Linked DNA regions of Xenopus tropicalis. The protein of the gene in region 2 purifies or fractionates together with the protein of the main gene of each other region. This does not show direct contact. Links are inferred from orthologs where the notes say so. Each region holds a gene or a part of one and is shown on either strand. Other genes may lie near its edges.

Evidence for each region.
Region 1: the proteins of asb2 (region 2) and rnf7 purify together in Homo sapiens (affinity purification with western blotting; 3 studies listed by BioGRID and IntAct, with this or other methods). This does not show direct contact. The link is inferred for Xenopus tropicalis from reciprocal best matches to the Homo sapiens genes ASB2 and RNF7.

What each region holds. Positions count from the first base shown.
Region 1 is NC_030681.2:129,412,867-129,418,800, forward strand, and holds the start of rnf7 (RING-box protein 2), read left to right. Parts: upstream 1-2,573; 5' UTR 2,574-2,612; coding exon 2,613-2,745; intron 2,746-5,265; coding exon 5,266-5,313; intron 5,314-5,934. UniProt on the Homo sapiens protein: Catalytic component of multiple cullin-5-RING E3 ubiquitin-protein ligase complexes (ECS complexes), which mediate the ubiquitination and subsequent proteasomal degradation of target proteins.
Region 2 is NC_030684.2:88,132,232-88,138,326, reverse strand, and holds the start of asb2 (ankyrin repeat and SOCS box protein 2), read left to right. Parts: upstream 1-2,434; 5' UTR 2,435-2,664; intron 2,665-6,095. UniProt on the Homo sapiens protein: Substrate-recognition component of a SCF-like ECS (Elongin-Cullin-SOCS-box protein) E3 ubiquitin-protein ligase complex which mediates the ubiquitination and subsequent proteasomal degradation of target proteins.

The DNA.
Region 1 (5,934 bases), on a different chromosome or scaffold from region 2:
TATGCATGCATAGCTATGTGTTCTTGGCTGCATTCCTGGAGGCAATACCTACACCAGTGATCCCCAACCAGTGGCTCATCCAACCCCTTGGATGTTGCTCCCAGTGGCCTCTAAGCAGGTGCTTATTTTTGAATTTCTGGCTTGGAGGTATGTTTTGGTTGCACGAAAACCAGGTCTACTAACAAACAAAACCTTCTGTAGGCTGTCAGCCAATACACAGTCTACCAAATAGGCAATTATAGCTCTTATTTGGCATCCCTAGGATTTTTTTTACGCTTGTATTGCTCCCCAATCCTTTGTATATTTCAATGTGGCTTACGAGTAAAAAAAGTTTGGGGACCCTGACCTAGACAAAAAAGGGGGGAACTGGGCACCATAAGACTAAGAAGCAATAAAAGCACTAGGAATAAAAGAGAAGCTAGAAAAAATGTTCACCACACTAGAAAAAAAAAACACCCGTAATTGAAATGCCTCTAGAATATCAGACCAAGCTTGTCTTTAGCTGAAGAAAACCCATAGAACAGAAGACACCTTAAATATCATCTAAGAGACCAAACACTGACTCTCCTTTACCCAACATGGGGCACAGTGCTCTTCCTTTCACTAACAGCCATCTGAGAAGCTCCTGGCCATCAATCTCTGCTGGGACCACATTCATACCTTCCCCCCTACCTATATCCATAGAGCCTGCACATATACAGTGTGAGCTTAGTGTAGCTAAGTGTCATCCGGCTGATACTAACCGTACTTGCAAATGTAAATTATTTTCTAAAAATCACTAAATGATTTGCTAATGCGCCGTACCCTCACTCACTGATATAGTGCATTGGCAGATAATTGGCTGATAATCTTTGGTTTGACAAGTTTGCAGGAAGATCTGTCAGAATGACTGTGTGGGACCTAATGAACATATTTTTGAATCATCTAGTTCCCCAGGGACCCAAGTTCAACTTCCCAGGCAGCGATTGCCAACCTTGCGAGCTGGTCCCGTGTCGTGGAGAGAGAACCCACTCTCACAGAACATGGAAACCGTATAAAAAAGGGGAAATCTAATTCATCAAATATATAAATAAAATTGGACTGAGAACTTCTGATCAGATAAATCAATTGTTTGCTTTCACTCTATATCTAAAGGTGGCCATACACGGACCGATTTTTTACTTACAAACGACCGATTCCCGAACGATCCGATGCTATCGTTAAGTTATCGTATAGTTGGTGGTGTACGAACGATCGTCGGCCCACTAAACGAGCCGACATTACCGTCCCCAAAATCGATCGGCCAGGTTTAAAAATTTTGGTCGTTTAACGATAAAATCTGCCAGTTGGTGTGAGTGTCAGACATTTGTCTTTCAACGATTGTTCTCTGCGCATGTCACGATTGCCAGCAGCAGAAGTCAACGACATCGATCGTACGTAGATGTACGATCGTAGGTATTTTACGATAATGATGCGACAAAATCTTTCCCGAATTATCGTTGCCCGTGGATGGCATATCGTATGGGAACTCGATCGCCATACGATCGTTTGTCGATATAATCGTTCATCGCACAACGAGCGAAATCGCCTCGTGTATGGCCACCTTTACAAACTCCTCCTAACCTTCAAAGCCCTCTATTCCTCTGCTCCTCACTACATCTCTTCCCTTGTGTCTCCGTACGTTCCTGGCCGACTCCTTCGTTCCTCGCAGAGCAATCGCTTGGTTGCGCCCCCCACTACTACTGCGGTTTCCCGCCTTAAACCTTTCTGCCCCTTACATTTGGAATGCCCTCCCTGATGTCCTCCGGAGAGAATCCTCCCCCAGTCTTTTTAAGACTAAACTAAAAGACTTTAGACTCACCCAGCACCTGATCTGGGAACTGGCACTTATATTGTAGTGTCACCCACTGTGACCTACAGCACTTATATTTGCCTATTTGTGTCTGTAAGTTACCCCTCCCATATAGATTGTAAGCTCTACGGGGCAGGGACCTCCATCCTCTTGTGTCTTTGACTCTTAACTTATTGCAGCTGTATTTATCTGTATTTATTGTTATACTTTGTATTTATCTATTATCTTATTAACACCCTGTTTACATTAATGTATTCTACTGTACAGCGCTGCGTACATAAGTAGCGCTTTATAAATAAAGATATATATATATATATATATACACATACATACATAAATACTCTACATGCAGCTGACTGAAATGAAGCTAATTGGTCATTGGTTGCTATAGGTTACTGCCCATGTGCAAATTCACCCAGGGTTGATAAACGAGCAAAATCATCCTCACCTAGGAATATATCAATGATAACACTTTTAAATATAAACCTAATGTTCATTATATTTGTCACTAAACACAAATACTGACATCAGGCAACACCATGCTCCGCCCCAGCAACAAATCGCAGCGCCTTTCCCTTAACTGTTTCGGGCGAATAGAACCAGTATAGCTATTGGTTGCTTCTCTAGGGGCGTAACCCTATGTCTTGCGTACTGGGATTGGCTCTACAGATATATTTTGCTAAAGCGATTGGCTTAGCTTAGCCTGTGCTCTTCTCTCATTGGGTCAATTACCGCAGCACATCGAAAGGATTGGCTATCTGAGGAGCCGCCCCCTGCCGGTATGGCTGCTTTGCGGGAGGAGCACGGAGCGAGCGGACCCAAGATGTTCTCCTTGAAGAAATGGAACGCGGTGGCGATGTGGAGCTGGGATGTGGAGTGCGATACGTGCGCTATCTGCAGGGTGCAGGTCATGGGTGAGAGATACAGCTCGCTGGCACTGGGGCGAAGGCTTCGTGTTGCGGGAATTACCTTCCGCTGCCAGCAGCAGCCCTGCTTGGGGAATCGGCCATACAGTCTCTGGTGGGGGCCGGGGGTTACTGTCACCTACTGAAATGACAGGCGCACACAGGCGGTATATGGAATATACCATTACCCTTCCTGTATTGTCATCCTGGGGGGAGAGGGACATCCCATTCCTAGTAGCTTTTTATGCCCCCCTGGATGACTCAAATCTCCATAGACAGTAATGTTGCTATAGCCCCTTGGCTATTTAGCATCCTTCCCCCCCTCCCTGTGCCAATGCTTTCACCCCCCCATCTGCCCCATCTGTTTGGATTTTGCCATGATATTCCCTGTGGGACTGCACCCATGCCCACCAGTTACACTACTGCCCATACACCCCATTGTGTCACATCATTTATTCCCATACACCCCATTGTGTCACATCATTTATTCCCATACACCCCATTGTGTCACATCATTTATTCCCATACACCCCATTGTGTCACATCATTTATTCCCATACACCCCATTGTGTCACATCATTTATTCCCATACACCCCATTGTGTCACATCATTTATTCCCATACACCCCATTGTGTCACATCATTTATTCCCATACACCCCATTGTGTCACATCATTTATTCCCATACACCCCATTGTGTCACATCATTTATTCCCATACACCCCATTGTGTCACATCATTTATTCCCATACACCCCATTGTGTCACATTATTTATTCCCATACACCCCAATGTGTCACATCATTTATTCCCATACACCCCAATGTGTCACATCATTTATTCCCATACACCCCATTGTGTCACATCATTTATTCCCATACACCCCAATGTGTCACATCATTTATTCCCATACACCCCATTGTGTCACATCATTTATTCCCATACACCCCATTGTGTCACATCATTTATTCCCATACACCCCATTGTGTCACATCATTTATTCCCATACACCCCAATGTGTCACATCATTTATTCCCATACACCCCAATGTGTCACATCATTTATTCCCATACACCCCATTGTGTCACATCATTTATTCCCATACACCCCAATGTGTCACATCATTTATTCCCATACACCCCATTGTGTCACATCATTTATTCCCATACACCCCATTGTGTCACATCATTTATTCCCATACACCCCATTGTGTCACATCATTTATTCCCATACACCCCATTGTGTCACATCATTTATTCCCATACACCCCATTGTGTCACATCATTTATTCCCATACACCCCATTGTGTCACATCATTTATTCCCATACACCCCATTGTGTCACATCATTTATTCCCATACACCCCAATGTGTCACATCATTTATTCCCATACACCCCAATGTGTCACATCATTTATTCCCATACACCCCATTGTGTCACATCATTTATTCAAATAAATGATAAAAAACATAAAGTGTTGGCTACTTGTCCCACAGCATTGATGTTAATAAAGGATCTAGTTCTCTATATTGTGAAATATACACAAACAAACACTATATGGTTTGAAGTATCCAGACTCCCCTTCAGATTAGTGGAAGTTATTATTTAAGCCACACTTCAGTCTCATTACTGATCTGGGGGTATAATGAAGCACCAGCAACAAATATTGCCAAACTTAGTGATTTTTAACATGGCATCATCATAAGATGTCTGTTTTGTTGCTATTTAGTTTGTGAGATTTTGGTGCTGGTGAGATGTAGGTGGGAAAGTGAAGTAGTGGGGCCTGGATACTCGCAGGCAATGCTGAGCGCAGATTACAGCACATATCCGTCAGTTGGAACACTCACTTCTGAGCTCCACACTGTTCCTGAAAGCAATGGCAGCACAAGAACTGTTGGTAAAGTAAGAATAAGGATTTCTATGAGAGGGCAGTGTCACGCAAGCCTAACATTTGGAATGCTAAGCTTCTCCTGGGGAGGATATTGGGAGCAGTGGGAACAGGCCTTTGTCAGATGAATCCCTTGTTACCATCCTAGTTGTTTACCAAATGAGTGTGGGTGACAGACACCAGCTGGACACTCCCTACCTGAATGCATAATGCAGATTTAAAGCTTGGTGGGGAGGAATAATAATCAGTTAGGGCCCCATTGAAAGAAACAGTGTACTATACTGTTAATGACGGTTCCATGTTTTCTACTTTGTGACAACAGTTTGGGTACAGTTCCGTCCTCTTTTATCCATACTAGTCTTCCTGTGACTCTCATGGACCCATTCAGTTCCTGCGACTATCCCATTAATTTACATTGGCATTAAATCCCTACCTCACCCTGGTCTATGTAGAAATGAAAAATCTCATGTCAGATAGGTCTGTCTGTGATTATATACACACATGCACCTCAGATTGGATTCAAGCCTCTTCTGCATGGAATTCCTTCCTGTTTAGCCACATTATATAATTTATTTTTTGCTGCTGGGCAGAAGAGGGTTATAAGAGGAAATATTTTAATGGAAGGTGTGTTTTCCTTTCTAGATGCCTGCCTGCGCTGCCAAGCTGAGAACAAACAGGAGGACTGTGTGGGTATGTTAATAACTGACTGGATTTCTAAGCCCGGGGAGAGAGTTCATGGCTACCTAGTAGTGAGTGGATTAAGATGCTGGGCTTACGTCACTGTGTGCATGGGGTCATTCCTTCATAGTGAAGGGCAAATGTCTTAAGCAGTGCTTGCTTTTTATCCTGATTGGAATTGTCTCCTAGAGCTGATCTTTATCTTTCTATACTTTATTTCCTGTCAGTGTTTGCCTAGCTCTCCACATTAGAAATAAGCTTGAAGGCAGCGAAAATCAGGAAGTACATGATCTGTTATAGGATAAGGGGAGGCTAATACACAGGGTTGGGTGCCAATATGCCAGGTACCCCCAGTGTTTGTAATCGGACTGGTTCTGTAGTTTATTAATGATTGCACTGATCCTTTCTCACTAAGCTATGTACCAGCATCTTTGTAATATGTTAAGTGGCTATGACTTTGGGCCCTACCCAACCTCCCCAAAATAATCCCCCCCCCCCTTGACATTGCCAGCACTTCCATTTGATTGGGGAGTAAATGCAGGTGAGAAGATTGTACCTCAGTAGTTAAAAGAACATTGTATGCCATAAGGGTAAATCAACTCCAAGCTTCTCAAACCAGCAATGTTATTAGTG
Region 2 (6,095 bases):
TATCATAAGGTGGACAAAAAATATTTAAAACCATGGGGACTAAACATTTCCTTTTATTTATATGCTTTGTTATTTCTTAGTCACTGCTCTAACTGAAAATGAATGTAAATTGCAGAGTTACATAGAGTTATACATAGCAGAGACAATGCATTCAGGTTTTATTGCCTAGCTGATTGCAGCTGTTCTGTGCCATCTCTAACCAGAGTCAGGTTTCCTTTACAATGGCTTATTGTTATGCAGCAGTGGATGACTTTCAACAGACCTGTCCACAATTGCTTTCAGGGCATAATGAACCCAACTTTTAATTAACTAAAGGAGTAAAGTGCCATTTGCAGCTCCAGTGAATAGATTAAGATTTAAAAAAAAAAAAAAAACATATGAATGTATATATACTAAATTCATGGAATATAACTATTTCACAGTTTTCATTGCTATTTATTTACCTGTTAATCAAGATATACATTTTTCGTAAAACAACACCAACTGTTACCTTTGTATTTTTTCTGCTTGTTTGTAATACCTTAATTACTCCACTGACTAATGGACTTTAAGGGCAGTGGCACATGTAGCCTTTTGTTCTTTGCTACTCAGAAGAAGCATTCAAAATGCTGAGAATTGCCATGGGCAGCTTCTAATTAACAACAATGGGAAGCTCCATGGAGTGACCTTCATCAAGAACGACTGTGTGGGGGTGTTTATTTCTTTTCTTAGGGCTTTCTGAGCCAAACCATGGGATATGCATTATTAAGAAGTCAATTAAACACAAAAGGCCTGGTGGGTACTTGTTTAGGCAACCAGTGAAAGATGTTTGCAGATATCAGATATGATTGTAAATATGATGGAATAAAAGATTTGTGCTATAGAATAAAAAAATAAAAGCACATAAAAACACATATATTGCCTTTATATGTGGGTTTTAAATGAGCCAAAGTATGTTTTTGGTTGAATATAATGGAATCAGATAGCTGATGTGTTGTAGGTGCACTCAAACACACATCAGATGCATAAGCCCTAAAGATACCATTCTTTTGCACTTTTTTATTTTTGTCACTTTTACAACATACGTAGTTTTTTCTATGTTAAAACTCCATTCTTCATCTGCCTTGTTTCACAAATGCTTGACCATTTCACTATATAAATAATTTTTTATGTGCATTGTTACTGACAAACATGAAAATGTATAGGTGATTGAAATTTACATTAGTATGGCTGGCCTAAAGGAGCACTCTGTGGGTAATATAAAGGTTCACTTGTTATGTGTGTGGACACCTTAAAGGTGCACTGCAAAGGAGGGTCCTATAGGGTGTGGGCAACCTGAAAATCTGAAGGTACACAGTAGCCACATGATCAAACTTTGCATCACCTATCTATGTCAGCTGATTTATATGTGTGCTGCTAAATAGGTACCCAATTGAGTGTGCTTTATTAAGAGATGGCTCTCAGGTGTATTCTAAATATACACCAAAAAGCAATACATACTGCAGATCTAAACTTGTGTTATTAATAAAGTATACACTGGAAATGCAGGCAGGCACTCAGGATCACCAAAACATGTTTCAAAGCAGCTCAATTTAGAGTCAAAACATTTTCAGTTTATTATGTCCGTACACAATGCCAAAAAGCCTTACACATTTTGTACCAAGAGGGGTACTTAGTCATAGCCATAATGTATGGGGCATATTGTAAAAGGCAAAGAAAACTACCAAACCATTCCAGTGAAGTTTTGAAAGAAAAGGACATATTCTTGCATCTGGAGGCATTATCTTTCCACTCATACCAAAAGGAGGATGTTCCAGTGGAAGAGCTCTCAGAGAGGTAGGTCTGCATGTGCAAAAAGAAACTGCTTTCTCCATGCTGAAGAACAGGACATGTATTTAGCATTGGAAATTGTAATTCATTACAGTCATATGCAAATGCCTACATATACCTGTGGTTCTTCCACACTGTACACAATTAACAGCCTCTTGTAAATATGCCTTTAATTTACAATCAGCCATTTTCTGTACTTTTTTTTCACAGAATATAGAAAACAAATGTTTGACTGAGCCAAAAAAAAGTTACAATTAAAAGAAAATTACGTTTACGTCTAAACAATAAAATCTTTCCAACTGTTATTGCATTCCTTCTGGAAGAAGGAATTAAAACATATATTTATATGGCATGAGTCTGGGATTGTGCCAAATAATTTTAAGTGTTCAGTTGGAAATCAAGGACTTGTTACAAGTGATGACTTGGCTCAGATACCTCTAAGGAAGAATACCAAAATCATTTCTTTTTTTCTTAAGAATGTATCCTTATAAGGCCTATTGTCAGGATGTATAAACAATGAGACAAGGGAGGAGTGAGCCCTCTGTGCAACTTCTCCACGGGATCCAGTAATATCTGCTGCAGGCCAATGCAACAGGGAATATTATTCTGGATGGCAGAGCTGGCTCTTCTAATCTCTGCATAAGAAATCTGAGCTACATGACAGAGTTTTGGCTTGTCGTGTCTGATCATGCGGTGCTCCAGAAATAAACTGTAGCCTACAAAGTCTGTGTTACAGGGCAGTTTCGCAGAGGCAGAGGCAACCTGCTGCAGGGGAGGACAAGGGTGCAACTTATGGGCTGTCTGTGAGCCCTAGGCACTTTAACAAGCTCATTTCATTCTCCTGGAAATATAAAGGTAACGCTAGCATGCATTCTACCAGCATCCTCAAACAATGCATTCTTTTATAATGCTGCACTGAATACTATTCAATGAAGTATTTGGTGTTTTACAGAGAAAACAAATATGAGAAGGCAAATAATTAAAGCAAGTTAGAGCAAACTTTGTACTTTGCTCTGAGAGCTTCCATTTTCTTTTTTATGTATTCAAGGATTAAGAATGCTTCTCTTCTTAAATTATAATTTATTTGCAAATCACTATAGTCATTTTATTTAAAATGCTATTCATGCTTTTAATTTAGCTTGGCTACCTATACCACTGGCAATCCCAGACCGAGACTGAGCACAGAGTCTTAACTTAATGTCTGGGCAGTAACTTGCAAGGAATGTAGCAGTCTCCAGCAATCAGCCAAGTTATTTTATTCTTGCAAATATTTAAAAAAAAATGAAATCCTTTTAAAAAGTATACACATACAGCCATGCATTTTCGCTGCTTTTTCACTTCTTTGCCATTCCAATTAAGGGTCACAGAAAGGAACCATATTTAGAAATACCTTGCTAAGATTAAAAATAATTACCATAACAAAAAAAAAATAACCAACAGAAAGAGATTTTTTTCCTATTTTTAGCTTTTTAGTTGATAAACTGCAACTTTGAACATGAAAGGATGTCAGGCACAGCTTTTCCAACATTGATCTACTGTGCAGTAAGTAGCTTATCAATAGCAATATGACATGTAGTGTGGTGCAGTACAAGGTGCACTGACATTGGATAAAGATGCATGGTCAGGCCAAGCAAGTCAGTGTCATTGATCTAGACAGACAGGCTGGTCTTTGCCACGGAACTACATTTGACCTGGTAATGATGAATATACAGTGTTCTCCTGGCCAAATTTATTTCACAGGCAGTTTTATATAGACTGACAGATGGTGCTGCTCTGGATTTGTTTACTTGCTAGGTTTGATCTTTGGAAGATGCCAATATTGGTGCTTCAAATTTAGTTTCCCGTATTAAGTGATATTGCATAAGTGAAACATGTTATTATGTCTGACTGTTGCTTAACCACAGTTCAGTCAGCTGTTAAAACCTATAAGTAAACATCAAGCAATTTATCAGATCATGTATCATTATACGTAAGAGGGAACTTACATAAAGGGAACTTCTGAGGCTGACTAATTACACTATAACAACATTTATCATGTATCTTTTTTTATAACAACCAAGGAGCAAAATCTCTGCAACAGGATCCTGCTTTGAATTACAGTGATGAATGAAGTTAAATGGAAGTTGGCAGTTGCTCATGTTTAAAAGAGTGTTGTATTTTGCAAGGTTCACACTGTAAAACGATATGCACTGTGCTGAACTGCTGAGCTTGCTTACTGGGATCAGTGCTGGGAAAATTACACAAGCCTCCAGCCAAGGCAATATGATATAACTTTAGTAATACATTTACATTTCTCTGTCCTATTTAACAGAATGCCTCCTAAGATTATAAGTACATGTTATCAAGTTTTCAAACATCAGATGTAAGTGGCTTAGAGACTCAAGATAGCTATGATGTTATGTATGTCACCCCTTGTGATGTAATGAAGTCCTGTTATTGGACAACATTACTGTCTATATGTGGCCAGCTAAAGGTTGCACAAAATGGTTGATTTGGCTGCAGGTTGATTTTAAAGGTGTTTACGAATACACTGTTTATAGATGGGATTTAATTACAGCTTTCAAGATAACAATAAACTGCTGATCACATTCGTATTAATAATTTAACATACATAAGACTGTACACAGAGTAATCAATATCATTTAACTTACTGATAATTCATTATAAATCAAGTGAAAGTAAATCTTTTTGTATAAGGCATTTTAAGGAATTCTTTTGTATGTATCCACTCTACAATCAGTGCTTAGCTTGAGGTTATATTATACTTTCCAGCTCTAAATGAGTTGTGCTCAAGCCAAGTTTGTACCTATTAAAATATAAATAAGAGAAATGACTATGATCTAGACAAGGTCAAACTTCAATTGCAAATTTCTTATTAAGAAACCTAAGTGATGAACACCCCGAATGCTAAGTAACCTTGTAAATATAATACTAAAGGAGTCATTTACAACAGTGTGAAAAGTGCAATTTTGGACACAATTCATCAAGTTTTGTGCCACAATTCCAGCATTGTGCCTGATTTTTGTTGCCACAATTACACACAATTCCAGCACAGTGTGCTTGAATACTGATGCAAATCAGGTGCAAGATGCATATAGCATTTCCAGGGTAAAGGTGTACATTTAAAATGGCATTTGCATTCAACTTACTGGACCCAAGTCTGGTGCATCTATTGATGCAAGCCACCGTTGAAACCTTGGTGTAACCACCAAGCCAAGGGGGGAAACAGTTTCAGAGTCACCCTGCATCACTTAATATTCATTAGAAAAGTCAGAGTTGAAACAATGTGCACCCATATGACAGAGCAGGAGCTAGTTTCTAACTAAATTTGTGGTGTTGCATGCAAAACATTTATTGGTCACAAGAAGTTTAGTGGTAAACAGCATGCAATAGATGGCTTCTTTCTTTTTTAAAACAGATTAATTATCTTACTGAATTGCACTCCCCATTGCGTCATTTTTAGTGCACTCATAAATGACCCCTCAATTAACCCCACAGGTTTACCCTTAGGTTAATTCATATGCACATACATATAACAATACAGTAAAAAACAGAGAATCAGTTCTCTTAGCAGGTCTTTTCCAAAGACCTGTAGGCTGGTTAAAAAACCAGCGACTGATTCAGGGTGAGAATTCCACAACTTCACAACTCTTACTGTAAAAAACCCTTTCTCGAAAATTAGGATGGAACCTTCTTTCTTTTAACTGGAATGCATGCCCTTATGTCGGCTGAAAATACCTACTGGTAAATAAATATATTATACGCCGTAATTGTTGATACCATTCATTTGTAACAATTTATCCCCAGTTAGAGTAGGTGTTTTCAGTGTGACAACTATGCTAAGTATCTCTTCTCTTGCTGCTTACAAACATGCTTTGAGTAGCCATCCATAATCTTGGGGAGCAAAACATAACATCAATAAGACTTCATAGTGCAGACAGAAATATATTCCTGAATCTAAAAATAAACACTGTGAAGTTTATTAGATGTCTTTGTTGTTATTTAGAGACAGCCACTGTATACTCTCCAACAATTTGCTTCACTGTCATGTGCCTAACTATACAGTGTAATAGGATCTGCATTGCAACTGTGAAGTCCAACATTCCAAGTGTGTGTGGAGAATTCTACCTAAAACAAGATGACATCAGTCTAAATGGGTGATTAATCAATGTCCATTTATGTTATTCATTGGATATACAGGGAGTAGCTCTTTTTCAGTACTAAACCTCCTTGGGGCTTCTGTAGACCTTTGGAACCAATATCTAAAATATTTCAAGTGTTTATTT